Lepisosteus oculatus: one gene and its partner. The protein of the gene in region 1 interacts with the protein of each later gene in a biochemical or structural test. Links are inferred from orthologs where the notes say so. Each region holds a gene or a part of one and is shown on either strand. Other genes may lie near its edges.

The links. The genes of interacting proteins can lie anywhere in the genome.
Region 2: the proteins of txnipb (region 1) and solute carrier family 2, facilitated glucose transporter member 1-like form a complex in vitro, tested with the Homo sapiens proteins (2 studies listed by BioGRID). The link is inferred for Lepisosteus oculatus from reciprocal best matches to the Homo sapiens genes TXNIP and SLC2A1.

What each region holds. Positions count from the first base shown.
Region 1 is NC_090722.1:4,355,762-4,363,505, reverse strand, and holds the start of txnipb (thioredoxin interacting protein b), read right to left. Parts: upstream 3,324-7,744; 5' UTR 3,042-3,323; coding exon 2,786-3,041; intron 1,958-2,785; coding exon 1,882-1,957; intron 1,759-1,881; coding exon 1,611-1,758; intron 1,364-1,610; coding exon 1,261-1,363; intron 855-1,260; coding exon 598-854; intron 285-597; coding exon 1-284. UniProt on the Homo sapiens protein: May act as an oxidative stress mediator by inhibiting thioredoxin activity or by limiting its bioavailability.
Region 2 is NC_090720.1:7,027,491-7,035,243, forward strand, and holds the start of solute carrier family 2, facilitated glucose transporter member 1-like, read right to left. Parts: upstream 3,125-7,753; 5' UTR 2,742-3,124; coding exon 2,724-2,741; intron 1-2,723. UniProt on the Homo sapiens protein: Facilitative glucose transporter, which is responsible for constitutive or basal glucose uptake. Has a very broad substrate specificity; can transport a wide range of aldoses including both pentoses and hexoses.

The DNA.
Region 1 (7,744 bases):
AACTGGAACTCGGGGGCGTTCATGAAGAGGGGGCTGTCGCCCTCGTCGTAGTCGTCCAGCAGCGGGGTGAGAGGGGTGTCCAGCCTGCAGTCCCGGGTGATGTCGCAGTAGCTGGGCGGCGCGCTGGGCATGCGCAGGGACACCCAGCTGTTGGAGGAGGTGCTGCTGCCGCCCTGGCTGCACATGCTGTTGTTGCGGCTGCTGAGCCCGTTGTAGGGGACGGTGCCGATGACCAGGGGCAGCTCCAGCATCAGCTTGTCGCTGCCCGGGATGTGGACGTAGATCTGAGCGGAGAGAGGCAACCGGATTAGAGCCTGGAACCTGGCTGCACGGGAGAAGCACTGCACTCGTCTCCCAACTACAAAACAAATCTCGACCTGGTCTTTACCCCAAGAGTGGCGGGAGTGTGGAACAAGCTGCCCAGCCATGCTGTCGAGCCCCGATACCCTGGTTTTTGATGGGGGATCAATCAACTACTGTACAGGCTCCAATGGCCTCTGGTTCGTCAACTTCCTGTGTGCCTACTCTGCCTTGACGTGACCAGTCACCCTACTCGCCAGCCGGCCAGCAGACGGGAGCAGAGAGCGTGGTGCTCACCATCAGCGCGTACTCCACGCGGATGATGTTGCAGCCCAGGATGGACGGCTTGATCTTGGGCACGCGGATAGTCTTGCCCTGCCAGGCGTCGCACATGCCAGAGATGATGTGGTTCCCTCGCACCGACGACAGCTTCTGCCGGAAGACCTTGGTGCGGCCGTTGGCCTGGTAGGTGTGCTTGGCGATGATGGCGGCCTTGGGCACCACGATGCGGGAGCAGGTGTTCTCGAACTTGGCGCTGATGCAGATATCCTCGCCTGGGGGGGGGGAGCAGGGAAGAGGAGAGAGTTAAAACTCCAGAACTACACTGAGCTCAACGGGCTTTGGTCAAGACTGAACTCAAGGTTGGATACAGATCCAAGAGGAGGCCATTACAGCTCATCTATCCCCTTTGAGGGAGACTGAACTGAACCCAGGATCTCATCCAGCTATGTCTTTGAAAGCCGACACCCTGGCTCTTAACAGCATTGCTGGGTAGCTAGGTCCCTTCTCCCACCACCCTTTGTGTAAAGAAATGCCTGCTGTCCCCAACTGGAGGATCTAATCCATCTTTGCACTGACAGAATCCAGGTTACTGGCTTCAACCCATATGGCTGGGTGGCTTGTGCCACACTCCCACCACCCTCGGTGTAAAGGAAGCACCTCCCCTCGTTTGTCACTCACCTTCGCAGAAGCCCCTGCGGTCGATCCTGGCGTTCAGAGACACCTGTCCGTCAGGGATGAACATACAGGTGACCTTCTTCTCCTTGGCCCCGGCTGCTGGAGACTGGAGAGAGAGAAGAACAAGAGCCCAGGTCAAGTCCAGCCCCACCAGCGCCTCTCCCACTCAGACCAGTGACCAGCTCAACTCGGGCCCCGCTGGCGGCCCAGTAACACTCGCAAGGGGAACGTCAGCCTCTGTACCAGCAAGACTTCAGGCACAAATCCCAATCTGAAGGACTGAAGCCCTTTCAACTGCATCAGAGAAACCAGTCTGATGTCCCAGTGGAGGAAAGGAGGAGAGTCTCACTTACATCCAGGTCAGGGGTGTTGACGTCCAGGGGCTCCACCACGTCAAAGTTCTTGGTGGTCTCCAGGGTGGGGTGGGAGGGTCTCTCCAGCAGGGCCTTCACGTAGTATTGCACACTCCCGAACTTCCCCTTGTAGGAGGACACCAGCTGCCTGCAGGAACAGGGGGGCAGAGATCGCGCCGTAAGCCCACAGAACGGAGGCCTTTTTTGGGGAGGCTGAATAAAGAGACGAGCCATTTTTTTTAAGATTAAAAAAAAAAAAAGAGACACCTACCCTTGCTGAGGAAGCTCAAATCCAAACATGTACTCGTATTTGTTCCCCGGTCTCAGAGTCACAGAGCCATCCTTGTCTGAAATAGAAAGCAAAAACGGTTTAATTATTTGTTTTTGGAACGACTTCTCCCCCTCCCCCACCCACAAACCTCGCAGTTTCAGCATTTTTCGTTTTTTAATTGAACAAAGCCGTGATTTTCTCTGCCCTCGCTTCTCTCTAACCACCCCCTGTCGTTACAGACGGGGACTTCCTTCAAACAGCTCTGACGACCTCGCGTCCCGGGCCAGCCGAGCCTGAATGCCAGCCGGCCGGCGGCCCAGCCTGGGCGCTACCCAAGTACAGTAGGCATTCACCCTCCCGGGGCCCGGCACATTTCCACGCCAGGAGGGGGGAATCCCCGCATGGACTTTCCCCGACCGGACCATCTCCGTGCCAGCGCCCCCCTGCGGCGGAGACGAGCAAGAGGGCCCCGGTGCCGTTTCCCCCAGCTGGGGATGTTGTTTATCACCGACCCTGAAGGTCCAGGCAGCTCGGAAAAACAGTCGCTCGTTTCCACAGCTTAAACCCCTTCCTGCTCTCTCTCTCTTTTTTTTTTTTTAATTCGTCAGCACCGCCGCTTGGCTGAAACCGAAACTAAGCAAAACTTTCTTGCCCCGATGACAAACTGGGGGGGGAGAGAAACAACAACCACCAAACACTTCACGGAAAGTAGCCGTCATTCTGCTGCATTGGGAAACTTAATTGAGGGGGGGGAGCTTCCTTTACCCTAAAAACGCACCGCTTTGAAAAGGACGTTTTCAACTTTTGGTTTTGCTTTTCGAACCAGCCCCTGCACCGCTCATGCCCGTCTCTGACCCCTCCGCACCCCCCTCCCCGAGACACGCACTCGCTCGCTCGCCCTCACCTGTGGGCTGGTCGTCCAGGTGCAGCGTGTCCTCGTACTTCAGGTAGTCCATCTCCTCGCGGCACCGCTGCTTGCCCTTGGCGTACTCCACCTTGGCGCAGCCCACGCCGAGCACCCGCAGGGCCGACACCCGCGTCACCTCGGACACCTCCAGCGCCACCCGGCCGGCCACCTTGTCCCCGCTGGAGTAGGCCGTCTTGCTGGGGTCGCTGAAGATCACCTCGAAGGTCTTCACTTTCTTCATCATGCCCACCATTGTCCGCCGATCGAAGCTTGCTTTATCCAGAAAGTGCAATCAATCAGTCAGTCACACCTGAGCGAGATAAGGGATCGACTTTCGCAGAAGCTGCTTCCAAGCAAACTTGCAGTTCTGCCGAGCACGGTCGATATTTCTTATCTTTTGACGAGTTTTGCAAGTGAAGGCGAACTAGCCACGTCTAATTAGAAAGCACGAGTGCTCCTATTTCCTCTGTCTACTGCGCGTATGCTAGGCACCATCTGTACTCCGCGGTAACTTTAGAGGGTGTAAACAGAGAACGGGGAAGTCGGGTTTTATACTGCCAGTGAATCGGCTCGCTCCCCTCCACCCCGGCTGCTCATGCGGCGCTGGGATGCCCGGCTCGGCTGCCCGCGTGCACAGCGCGCCCATTGGCCGAGCCGGGCTGTTTGTGTCGCGCTCGGCCAATCAGCGGCCGGCGGCGGCGCGTGTTCAGCTCATGGAGGAAAACACGGCGGCGAGTGCTCAGCGAGTGACGGGGCGTGGCCAAGCGGGCCTGAGCCAATCTCCTGTCTCTCCTGCGTCTTTGTCTCTCAACCACCACACACACAAAAACAGTATTGCACACATTGTACCGTTTTTTTTTTCTGTTCGGGGAGTGGCCAGATGTACCAGACGGGATGTTTTTAAGAGGAACAGGCACGTTCCGTAGTAACCTCAGGGATTCCAAGGGAACTCTCAATTATAATCGCAACAGTTCGAAGGCGATACCCCGCTTGCACCCAAACAACGATTTTTACAGACACGCATTACACAAAAATAAAAAGATAAATACATTCTAAAAAATGCCAGCCGTACACATTATTGCTCGAAACGGGCCGCTGATGGGACAAACAACGAGATACAAATTTGTGTGAAAAGTACACCCACAAAAATGGCAAAAAAATGTGAAGTAAAAAATATAGTTTAGAAAAAGTATAGTTTGGATTCTTTCTCAGACGACTTTACCTTAACAGACTGCAATCAGACATACTGTTGATAAAACAGATATTGGGGATGAAATTGATATTCTTTATTTCAAAGAACAACAGCTACAGGAAAACAACGCTACAGTATGTTGATATAATGTGACGCTAAATCTAACGAACTATTCTGAGGGAAACGGACTTCTAAGAATATTTCAGACGATCGTTAGACTCATACCACTTAAAACGATATTTTATTTAACCTCAGAAAGGAAATAGCTGGAAAACAGTATATATAGAGAGATACACAGTATACAGTTTTATTTATCCGTTCACTGTAGCTTTTAATGTCTCAGTCTAGTTTTACTCGTTTTTTTGTAAGCAAATGTGATGATTTTTATTTCCTTTTTTGTCTTGTATTAGTGTGTTACTGTACAGCACCTCTAACGCGCAAGTAGGGCTTATCGTATTGCGACAATTACAATGTTGATCTGCACAGACATACCGTTCCTCGTTATCTACCATCAAGCGGGATAAAACACTGTCGTGTCACAGAAACGCGTTTTAATTCGATGTAAGTTCCATCAGGAGGCTACCCGAACAGACAGGCAGTGGGTGAAAACACACTTTGAAGACATTAAGTGCTCAGGGAGAATGTTCGATTTTTCCATCATCAAGATATATTAGCGTCTTGACCAAAATTGCTTAGGATTCATCCCTAGGATGGTCCAAACATTTCAGCTCAGCAACCAGTGCTGGACAAACCTTAAATCGCACGAAATTCCTAAATGGTTTTTCCTTACTTTCCTGTACCTATATGTCGACACATATATAGAGAGGAAAAAATACTTTAGCGGTTGACCATCGAGTTTCGAGTCTTGTTTTTTGGAAGGACTCTGAGTTTCTGTAATCACGGCATGATTTTACAGCCTGAAAAGCATTGCGTCACTCCTCTCCCGAGTGTTTTGGTCCCACAGATACGGTAATGGTGTTGCCCCCCCTAACCGACCACCCGTTGGCAGTGCTATCTGAAGAAGGTGAAGTTATGATTCACTCGCGACGGTTTATTGACGCTGAAACGGGATCGGTTGGGTCGGTTTGGGTCCGCAGTGAACTAATTTCGGTTCTCCTCCGTGGTTCTGCGCCCACGCCAGTGGGCTGCCATGTTCTGTAATTCCAGTTACATATTCGATACCCCCACACCAAGCAACTCAAAGTGAAGCGCTCGAACTCAGTTAATTGCCTTAACCCCCGCCATCCACACGTTTTAGATAAATCGAAGCCGAAGTTGTATCTTTTCAACCTCAATAAAAACGAATCGGTCGTTGTTAAAACGGTTTCTTGCTTGTATACGCCGTATCGGACCGGACTGGATCGATTTACATTAAAACCGGATTCTCCTCGCGAAGGAACCGGTCGGGTACAATAAGGAGGTTCGGCCGGATTCACGCAACCCACAAGGAGTCTCCTGCACATTTCCGATAGGAAACAAATGGAAAAATAAAAGGATTATGATTACAAATGGTGGGAAAGCGGCGCAAAGTCTAATTGTTAATTGCGCCTTAGAGAGACCGGTGTTTTATGACGCAGTCCCTGAACCGGGGACCTTTCGGGATTTTGTGGAACCCCAGGGGCGCGAGAGCGAGACTGAAACGGGAGAGGTTCATTTTAAGTCTCGACACCGCCGGATTTGTCTTTCCCGGCGCTGTCCAGGAACACGGGACTCCCCCGCACCCTGAAGGAGCCGTGATAAGACACGTGGGATCACAGACATATCGGGTGGACGGACCTCCTGTTCCCACCCGTTTAAACACGAAGCCGAGTGAGTTCCACTACACGCGTGAACGACATTTTCATTCTTTCATCCCAGCTAGTGACGGTCCGGCAATCACATCGCGCAGACAAGCTGAAGGGACAGGATGTAAATTCAGTTATCCCTACAGCTGCGGGACATTTCTGACGGTGAATAGGATCGAGTATTCCATCGATAAACTCTGCGCCTTCAGCCAGAAGATCACGGTTATGATTACAAACGGCAGGAGACCACCCCCCATCTAGCCGGTTCGATAGTGTCTAACTGGGTCTGTCAAAAGCACCCAGGGTGTCGACTTCAACATGATTGCCTGGGCAGCTTGGTCCACACCCCCACCACCCTTTGTGTAAGGCACTGTTATCGTTATCATTTTAAATGCACTTACCCGTAGGTCTGTGGCTCAGGATCTGCGCCTGTGGCTGGAAAGTTGCCGGTTCGTATCCCACGGCCGGCAGAGAAATCCTACCCCGTTGGGCCCCTGAGCAAGGCCCTTCACCCCCCCTGCTCCGGGGGCGCTGTACAATGGCTGACCCTGCGCTCTGACCCCCAGCTTCTCTCCCCGTCTGTGTGTCTCATGGAGAGCAAGCTGGGGTACGCGCGCGGTAAACGCGTGAATTGCACTACGTCACAGTTAAAAGAAAACATTGAAACGTTGTCCAATGTTATGTCACGGGATGGGGCCCTGTGGCTAAGCAGGACTTTCTGAGCAGGGTACTTCGCCTTATTCCAGTAACATTCCCATAGATAAATGGATGAAAATGAGCATAAAAGCATCCACCAAAAAATGAATATCTCGTGTATCTAGATTAGCTCGTCTTCAGACACAGCAGCCATTCCGGGATCCATACTGGACATAACCCGTCCTCGCAATACCGAGGGCATCTTCCAGCAGGATAACACCGTTTTCACCCACATTAGTGCAGTCGGGTTACCCGCCTGTTGGGTTAGAACTTGGTGAAGTTACCCCCCCTTCAAACAATAAAACAAGTTTTTATCTTTTTTTGCTTCCAGCTCAGCTCTTAATGACCTAATTTTGCCCATTATCAGCTTAATGGGACCAGTTTATCACCTTTTTCCACGGCAACTTCACGGAGCTTTGGGTTAATACCAGATAAGCACCGGTAATTGACAAAAAGAGGTATAATTTCGTCGGGTTGTGTGCGTAATGCATAGACTGTATTATTACTAAATTACTGTTTTCCCAATAAATAAAAAGGCTAAATTGAAACTGCGGTCGTCTCACAACTGTAGCATATATTTGGCGAGCTGGTGGCATAACCTTGGGGACTTGGCGCCCCCTAGTGGTTGTTTCTAGAGTCGGTACTGTTGCGCCACCTCGTACCCTGCATCTCTATAAACATCACCTGTAAGTCAAACTTTCCGACTGACAGTGATGAAGAGCGGGGGACGGGGAGTGTCGGGAATGAAGACTTGCGCACACGCTGTTGGTGATCCGGGACTGGGATGACGACACGACACGACACGCCGCTCGCGGCGTAACAGAGGAGCGCCAGGTTTGGGAATGTGTGCTGGCACGTGTTGCCTTGGCCGCCCGGCTGCGCGGGACTCAAGTCAAAACAACAACAACGCAGGGTTTTTCAGAGACAAGACTCCGAATTTATGTATGATTAATTCATAAGTGCCTCTAATTTCTCCTGTTTGTTGTCCAGATTGGAACCAACATTGATCCTAGAGACTGTTTCAATTGCATTGAAAGTACGTCTGCAATCACAGCTATAATCCCCAGTTAATTAATTATTCCCTTTTAGATACAGTAGGGGACCCACTCCATCAAATTAATAGATCTAATTAATTAATTAATCCAGTCAATTCGATTAGTTATCAGACTGCAACGCTAGGGTGATGTTCCGGGACTCTGCAGTTAACATCCCCGCTCTTGCAAAAAAATACCCACACACCTTTAATGATCAAAAAGCCAGGACATCGGATCAATGTTAAAATAA
Region 2 (7,753 bases), on another chromosome or scaffold:
GGAGAAAAAGTCAAGGATGAATGCAATGTAAAGTTTCCATTCAACTGCATAGCGGATATATCTACATCAGCAGAACAAAAGTCGATACTTTGTCTTCCCTTCTGAAATATTTGATTATGCCAAATATTTCACATCTACAGGCCTCAACTTTGGAATTAGCACCATTTAGCTGTTGATTATTTCTAATTGCATTATACCTTTTAAAAATGTATTTTTAACTTGTCTGGGGTTCCTTTCAACTGATAACCTTTACCCTCTCAGTGTGGGTATCAGATTGGACAAATGTGTATTGAATCTCAAATTCTGAAACCCTTCATTCAGGTGGTTCTCCTTAGAGTGCTACACTTCTGAAACCCTCAAAGTAGTACAATCCCATAGTCTGTTCAACACTTAGTGCCTCTGATTTCTCTGAGTGCTTGTTGTAATTAGGTTTTTATAGGACTTAGAAATACGTGCTTTGAAGATAGACACTAATCCTCATCTTGGATTCTTCTCAGATCACAACTGAGTGATACCTTTATAAATGTTCTACAAATGAATAGTAAATATGTCCTTCTGCAATTGATATCTGCACATACATATCGATCCAAGAACATGAACCCAGGAACCTACAATACAACGCTTGGGTACCCTGATCTCTCAAATAATGCACGTACTTCTGTTCCTTCGTCACTCAGTTAAAGTCAGCCCAGGAAGATGCTGAACTGAAAGAAGCTGATAACCACAGCGACGCACAAAGAGACTTCATCCCTACCAAACCACCAAAAAGAATCAGCCATACCAACTAACAAAGTAGTCACGTCTAACAGTTAATCTTTCAATTCAGCTGGGAATAAAGTTTCTAATTTCCTTAAAATCCAAGAGGCCAGTTTTGTATTTCTATGACACCATTGTTTACAAAATATACAGTCATGATGATGATGTTTTTTAAATGTTTTTTCTTTACCCTTTGATAATGAATTTTATAAGTGGTTGCGTAAATCCACACTTGTGAGTATGACTAAGCAGTCTTCACCGAACATTCAGTGTAAACGATTACAGGAAAACTAGACATTCTGCAATATCTGAACAACTGCAATATGCGATTGAATATTTTCTTTTTACTGAAAAGAAAAAGTTGCTTTTTAAGAAATACTTTTTCTGCAATTAAGATTTAGATCGGTTAAGCAGTAACGCTAATACATTTGAATATCATAAGAACGGCTGTTTAAATTTACCATAATGTCATTAAGACCTCCTCTATGGTAGTAGCCTACAATGCAACACTTCAGTTTTGATAAACATTCACCGTTTTTACAATGTAAAACAGTAAACAAAAACATCAGTTGCAAAGAGAAACACGCAGGTTCTTAATACCGTAACCGGAGAAACTCCACAAAAAATAACGTAGTTATTTCTAGAATATACCAGCATAGAGCAGTAAGATTTAGAAATAACCTTCTGCAGAATATTTTACAGGCGTTGTTTGTGAGGAACTACGTCTTTATTTCAAGCAGAAAAAACTAAGATCAGTCAGGAAACCAATACCACTAACTGGTACAACTGAAAATTAGTTATTCGATTTCTCAGAAAGTTGTTTTGCTCCAAATACACTACGTGAAATGTTTTAGGTGGAATTTAACGTCCTGTTAAAACCACTGTATGATGCACTGGGGTATCAAAAAGTTCGGTATATACAGCACTCTAAACAGGAATTAAACCGTTATCAAATTAAAAACAAAAATTAAAAGTAAATGGTGTGTTATGCGTTAAATAACCCGGTGTGTGCTGGGGATATAAAGATCTTCGTCTCCAGCACAACAGTGGTGCGTCTTCATCCATTAAACCTGCAAATTCGGACCCACGAAAGAACAGATTATTCTAACACGATCGTTTTTTCGTCCCGTCTTTCAGGGCTAATTTTAATATTACGCCACGTTTAGTTTGTTTTCTAGTCCAATTTTTTTTTTCTCTCGTGAAAAATAAAACTCGCACGCACGAATCCATTGCAACATCGCGAATTTGATCGTACGTCACGTATTGTCGCCATTCGACTTCATTGAACACAGCGCGATTAACTACTGAATAATTCCCACTGGGGGTAGATAAATTGTCCACGAAACGCCCATCCTAACCGGTCAACCATTTATTTATTTGGGTTCCTCTGTTGTAGACGCTTCTGTTTTTATTGCAACCAATAACGCGTGTGTGTGTGTGGAGGGGGGTACATATACCAATTTATTTTAAAGAAAGCAGCTCCAGCTGGTTTGTAAAAGAAGGCGCCCACCTCCCCCCCCACCAATAAATGTGCACTGCTTTCATTGAGAAGGCAGGACCACCCGGGCGAAGAGGACTGAAAATGCGCGGATCGATTAATCGCCGTAGTGCACCGCCAGCCACCAAAGTCACGTTTCCTGGCGCACGTAGGCAGCGGCTCAGCCTCGCCGCTCTGCGTCATTCTCTACCTCGCCGTTTCCCAGCATTCAACCGGAAGCCCCTGGCTGCGCTCCTCTGGGCACCGGTACAATAGAGACAGTCTGCCCCGCATGGGTCGCAACATGTTCAACATTTGTGCTCCAAGGGCGCAAACCGCTCTGCTTTTATCTCGCCCAGTGACACGACACGGGGGTATACTAAGCCTAAAGGGAAACATACTGGTCCACATTGTTTTGTTTTGGGTTTTGTTTTTTTTTTAGCGGCTATGAAAGTCAAGAAAGCGGAGGTGCGGGTTTTTTTTTTTTTACCTTGCCGCCCGATTCCATCGTGGTTGAAGCCAGGACCGTCCTCACGTCAAGACTGCTCTGTCGTTCAGAAACTTTCGCGTCCCCGTAGAGGCTTGGAAGGAAAAAAAAAAGTCCCGATTTCCTCGTTTCTGTCTGTGCTAAAACTTGTTTTTTTTTTCACTGACGAAATAAATATATATATATAATGCGGAGTCTAACAGATTAAAATAAGTCCTTTATTGTGTGAGTTATCTTTCCTTTCTTCAGGCAGCCGCCGCGATGATCAAAACTGAAGCGCAAAACATCAGTGGAAAAGCAAAAGAAAGTTTTGATGCGGCTCCTTTATCCTTCCCTGGTCGGGTCGTGTAAAAGCAAACCGGTCCTGAGCTTGAAACTTCTCGTCTGAAATTGTATTTAGGGAAAATAAACCGGGTTTTATGCGTCAAGCCTTCTCCTCGCTGATTGGTTGGCCCAGGGGCTTAGAGGAAGGTGTGAGAGGAGGCCTGCGAGCTACTCGGCCTGTGATTGGTCAATATCCCCCCCCGGGAGGCGGTGTCTTGACAGGCTTAGCCCGTCTTTCACATAGGTAACACTGTCTGCCAAAAAGGGACACATTTTTTTTGAAGACCACAGGAGGACGTGCATGAAGAGAATTAACAAATAAAGCTGGTCTGCTGAGGCATTCGCTTCAAATATAGTTGTAAAAACGAATAGGAATATGAATATTCAGCCGGGGCGGCCCTCGGGTACGGGCGCATCTCCGGAATACAGTTTAGACTTCAACCACAAGTATAAATAAAATAGTAAACTAAAAAGCTATTAATGAAAAATAATAAACAGCTGTAATAATTTCTTTTTTCCCGGCTGACTGGTGAAAAAGCGGTGGTCACGTTTTTGCATACGTATGCCTGCTGCAACTAGCAACAAAACAGCGATTAACAGTAACAGTAATAAGCTTTATTTTAAAACCAGCTGCAGGAATGTCGGCAATTAAAGAGCCACACAGACAGCCAGACAGGGCAGCACTCTGCGTCAATTAAATAAAAGGTATTCTTATCATGTGAGGAAAAACAAGAAACTTGTTTATGGCGATTAAAAGTTCCTCTGGTGCCCGGTTCATCTTACTTTTCTAGTATTTCTTAAGATAGTCCCATTTTTTACTTTGTTGCTAAAGAAAACTAGACAAATAGATCATTAAGTGTTTTTTTTTTCCCCTGTGGTAGAAAAACACTTCCTATTTAAGAATCTCGAGTGATCCATCATTTGTAGAAATCCCCGGTGTAAATGCCTAGGCTGTACAAGCCCTAGACTGCTCCATTAATAATAGAAAAAGACGATGCTGACATTGTATCTGCTCTGAGTAAGGCTATTTTCCACTCAGAACTCCTGAGTGTTTTTCACGTGATCTGCTATCAACCAGTCAGTGTACTGTATTTGTCTATTTGCTTATAGGGAAGTTTTATTAAGAACGTGGGGTAGGTTTTCTATTAGAAAATAAAACGTTTAGCTCTCCCCGGGTCTACTGAAAAAATAACTTTGAGCTTTTGTTTCCTTCAGTAAATTACCTATAAGTCATCCTGGTACTTATCAAGAAGGGTTAGAAACTGATAATCTGGTGTGTCATGTCATCATTAAAGTCTAGTGGGCCTTAAAATATATATATATATTTTAGTTTGCCAGGTCAACAGAAATAAAAGGGGCATGCATCTTTATAAATAAAAAACACTCTCTTTAAGAAGGTAACATTAAGAGGTTTTGCACAAATGGTTTCTACATTTTATTAAGTACAGAAGAGGAAAATGCTAGAAAATGACAACAGCTGCAAGCTCTTTCTCACCTAACCAATTTCCTACTCAAACTTAGTAGGAGAACATAACCTACTAATAATATAACTGAAAAATCCCATTATCTTCGACTGACGTATCGCTTCAGTCTTCAAAAGCAATCAATATATCTGTACAAGAAAGTTACAGGAAAAATTGTTACAAAGGGTAATGTCTTTCCAAGTGTACACAGGAAGTCTTTACAAGCTTACTTTGAAAATGTATGTTACTTTTGGTGTCATGAGTGCAGCATGGTAGTATGAGCAGTTAGCAAAGGTTTCTCACAACTCTTGAGCCCTAGGTTTGATTCCAGATGTGGGTGACTTACTGTATGTGTGGAGTCTGCATGGTCTTTGTTGTTCATAATATTCTGGCTAGTCTAACTGGTGTCTTGAAATTGTTCTTGTGAATGTGAGTGTGTGCCTTCTGAGGAACTGGCATCTTGTCGAGTGTGGTCCTACCTTGTTGGACTGTCCAGAAAAGCGCTATACAAGTGTAAGCAATTATTATTATTATTATTATTAATAATAATATTGTATCCCGTGTCCTGGTTATGTACCAGCTGTGAGACACTGCACAGGATGAAGCAGTTAAAGATAAAGACAGGATTTTAATTTTATTTTGAAGGATACCCTGTATTTCTAACTGATATAGTCCAGTTGATACACCTTTGAAAATACAGATCATACACTTTTGGACCTACATTTTTAGTTTGTACATTTATTGAAAACAATTCTGAGATGAAAACTAAAAATCTCTCAGAACTCACACATTCATTCCGTTACAGTGCCCTACAGCCCTGGTGATATCCGCAAGTATTTTGATCAATCTCAAGCAAGTATAAATATTAATCCTCTAATAAAATTTGTCATCAGCCTATTCAAACCATATAGAGCCAACCTGAAGCTAAGTTGGAAATAAAATGGAGGCTGTTACAGGACAGGAGTTGTGGGATTCCTTAGCATGTAGACAACATTTACACAAATTTGTCTTTATAAAGCAAAAATAGTTAGCAGAAGTGTTACCCCGTATACATGTTTTTTCTAGTATAGAAATTCAATTCAATTCAACTTTATTGTCATTAAACTTACACAGGTGCATAGTATAATGAAAAGTGTTTCTCATTAGTCACTCAGGTGCAGTATAGTATAATAGAGATGGTAAAGCGTTATAACTTAGCTTTTCAAAGTAAGAAATTTTACATTCCGCTAGGTAGCAGCTCAAACTAAGTGTAATGAGCTTCTGCATTTGCTTTAAACACAATGTAGCCAACTTAACCTAAAAGCATCAGGATTCTGATCATATTCATCTGATGAAGAAGAAGACAAGATCACAACAGAATCACCTTTCATCGACCGGTGTGCAAGGAGGTACATAAATCCACGTACCTCTACTTTAATTCTGAGAATATTCCCGGAACGGGAGGCTTGAGAAAACGAAAAATCTGGGAGAGCAGAGCAAGAGTAAGGGTGTAGATGGATAAGTGCCCTGTGGAACAATAGCTTAAAGCCAAACTAAAGTCCGAAGAAAGCCTGCAGTGGGGGCAGGGTGGGTTAGTGGCTCCTTTGTTGTGTTTCTTTCGACCTAAAAGGAAATTACAGGGAGGGGCCAGTTTTTTTCCAAAGGACATCACAGATTGCGTTCGGCACTCAGTCTGGGAGCCCTTGCTACACATGCACACAGAGACATGTTACATCATGACCGTGAGTCCACCTGCTCTGACAAAATGATTTGCAGCATTTAGTAATAACTGAAGGATACAGCAATTCATGTCATGAAGTCATTCGTCCCAGCAAAGAATACACACAGATTCTGTCCTGCAGGAACAAAAACCATATTGTTAAACCCTTCACTTACCAGAGCTAAAAGATGTTTGACTGTCTGTAAAGTAATTGATGGGGTAGTGTACGTAATGTCAATTTACATAATAGAAATGTGCGTCTTTGGAAAACAGAAGGTTACAAAGTGGAAATTGATATTAAAGTCATAAGATATGAAGTCCAAGTCCAGAACTTTATACAATGTACCAAGCAGTCTATGTGATGGCTACATCCTGCAACACTATTGTTCAACCATCCGCTATGTCAGATATGGAGGAAAGGTTGAGTTTTAGATGGGGGTGAGTGGATAGTACTTCTTCATTCATTCTGTGCTGTTATGTTTTAATTTATTTGGGTTGTACAAAACAGGTCGCCTGTTTACTTTGTAGTGCTGAAGAAACAGAATCAGTTAGCTACTTGACCTACAGTACTTCACTGTGAAGATCAGTGCAAGATCCCTTTTCATTTACCATATTTTCTTATTTATTCACAGATTTTCAATATTCTGCAGAAGGCGTAGTCAAGCGAACTACTTTTAGCAATGAAACAAATGTTTCATGCATGACATTTTAAATCAAACTGTTTACAAGCAGTATTATGACTCACCATTTTATGTTGACTTTTTTTCATGCCTGTTGCAGTTATTCAGTCAAGAATATTTCTTTTCATATTCCATCTCTTCCTCTTTGCCTCTTTCACCCACGTGCACACCAGCACTAAAAAGACAGCTATCTGCACAGCACTGTCTGAATAATTCATGACTAACTCATGACATGTTCTCACAGATAAAAGCTGCCTTATACTGGGATATCTATAAAGCCAACCAGAACTACGTGTTGCTGTAAATAATCCATCACCCTGATATACTGTATATAGCTCCAGCACAACTTGCTCCCAATTAAGAATCTTAATTTTAAAATGCTTGTGGGGTAAACTGTACATGCACTGCTCTCTGTCAGCAGCAGTTGTTAATGCTTTGAGATAAAAACACCGATAGCTGCAGGAACAAAATAGTAAAGCCTCCTTATCTCTCTTACATTTGACAGTCCCAAAGCACAGTATTTTTTTACATTTACCTGAAACACCTTTTAATTAAAATACCTGCTATAGAGTTTAATACATGCTATAGAGATTAATTTTGTGATATGAACTTGGAAAACATCCGCTAACCCATTACAGCACAAGTAGGTTTTATTTGTGTTGGCACATTATTAGTAGTGTTAGTATTAATATTATTAGAAAAGTAGAAAAGATCAAACCAAGCATGAGTAAAAAGTTACTTTGGGGATGTACTGAACTCAATGGCCTAAGAAAAGTTCCAAGTGTCCTGAAAATGGAATGAGTGCACTTAAACTCTGCAAATTAAATGGCTAAGATCATAAATACTGTATTTCTATGTTGCTGTCCC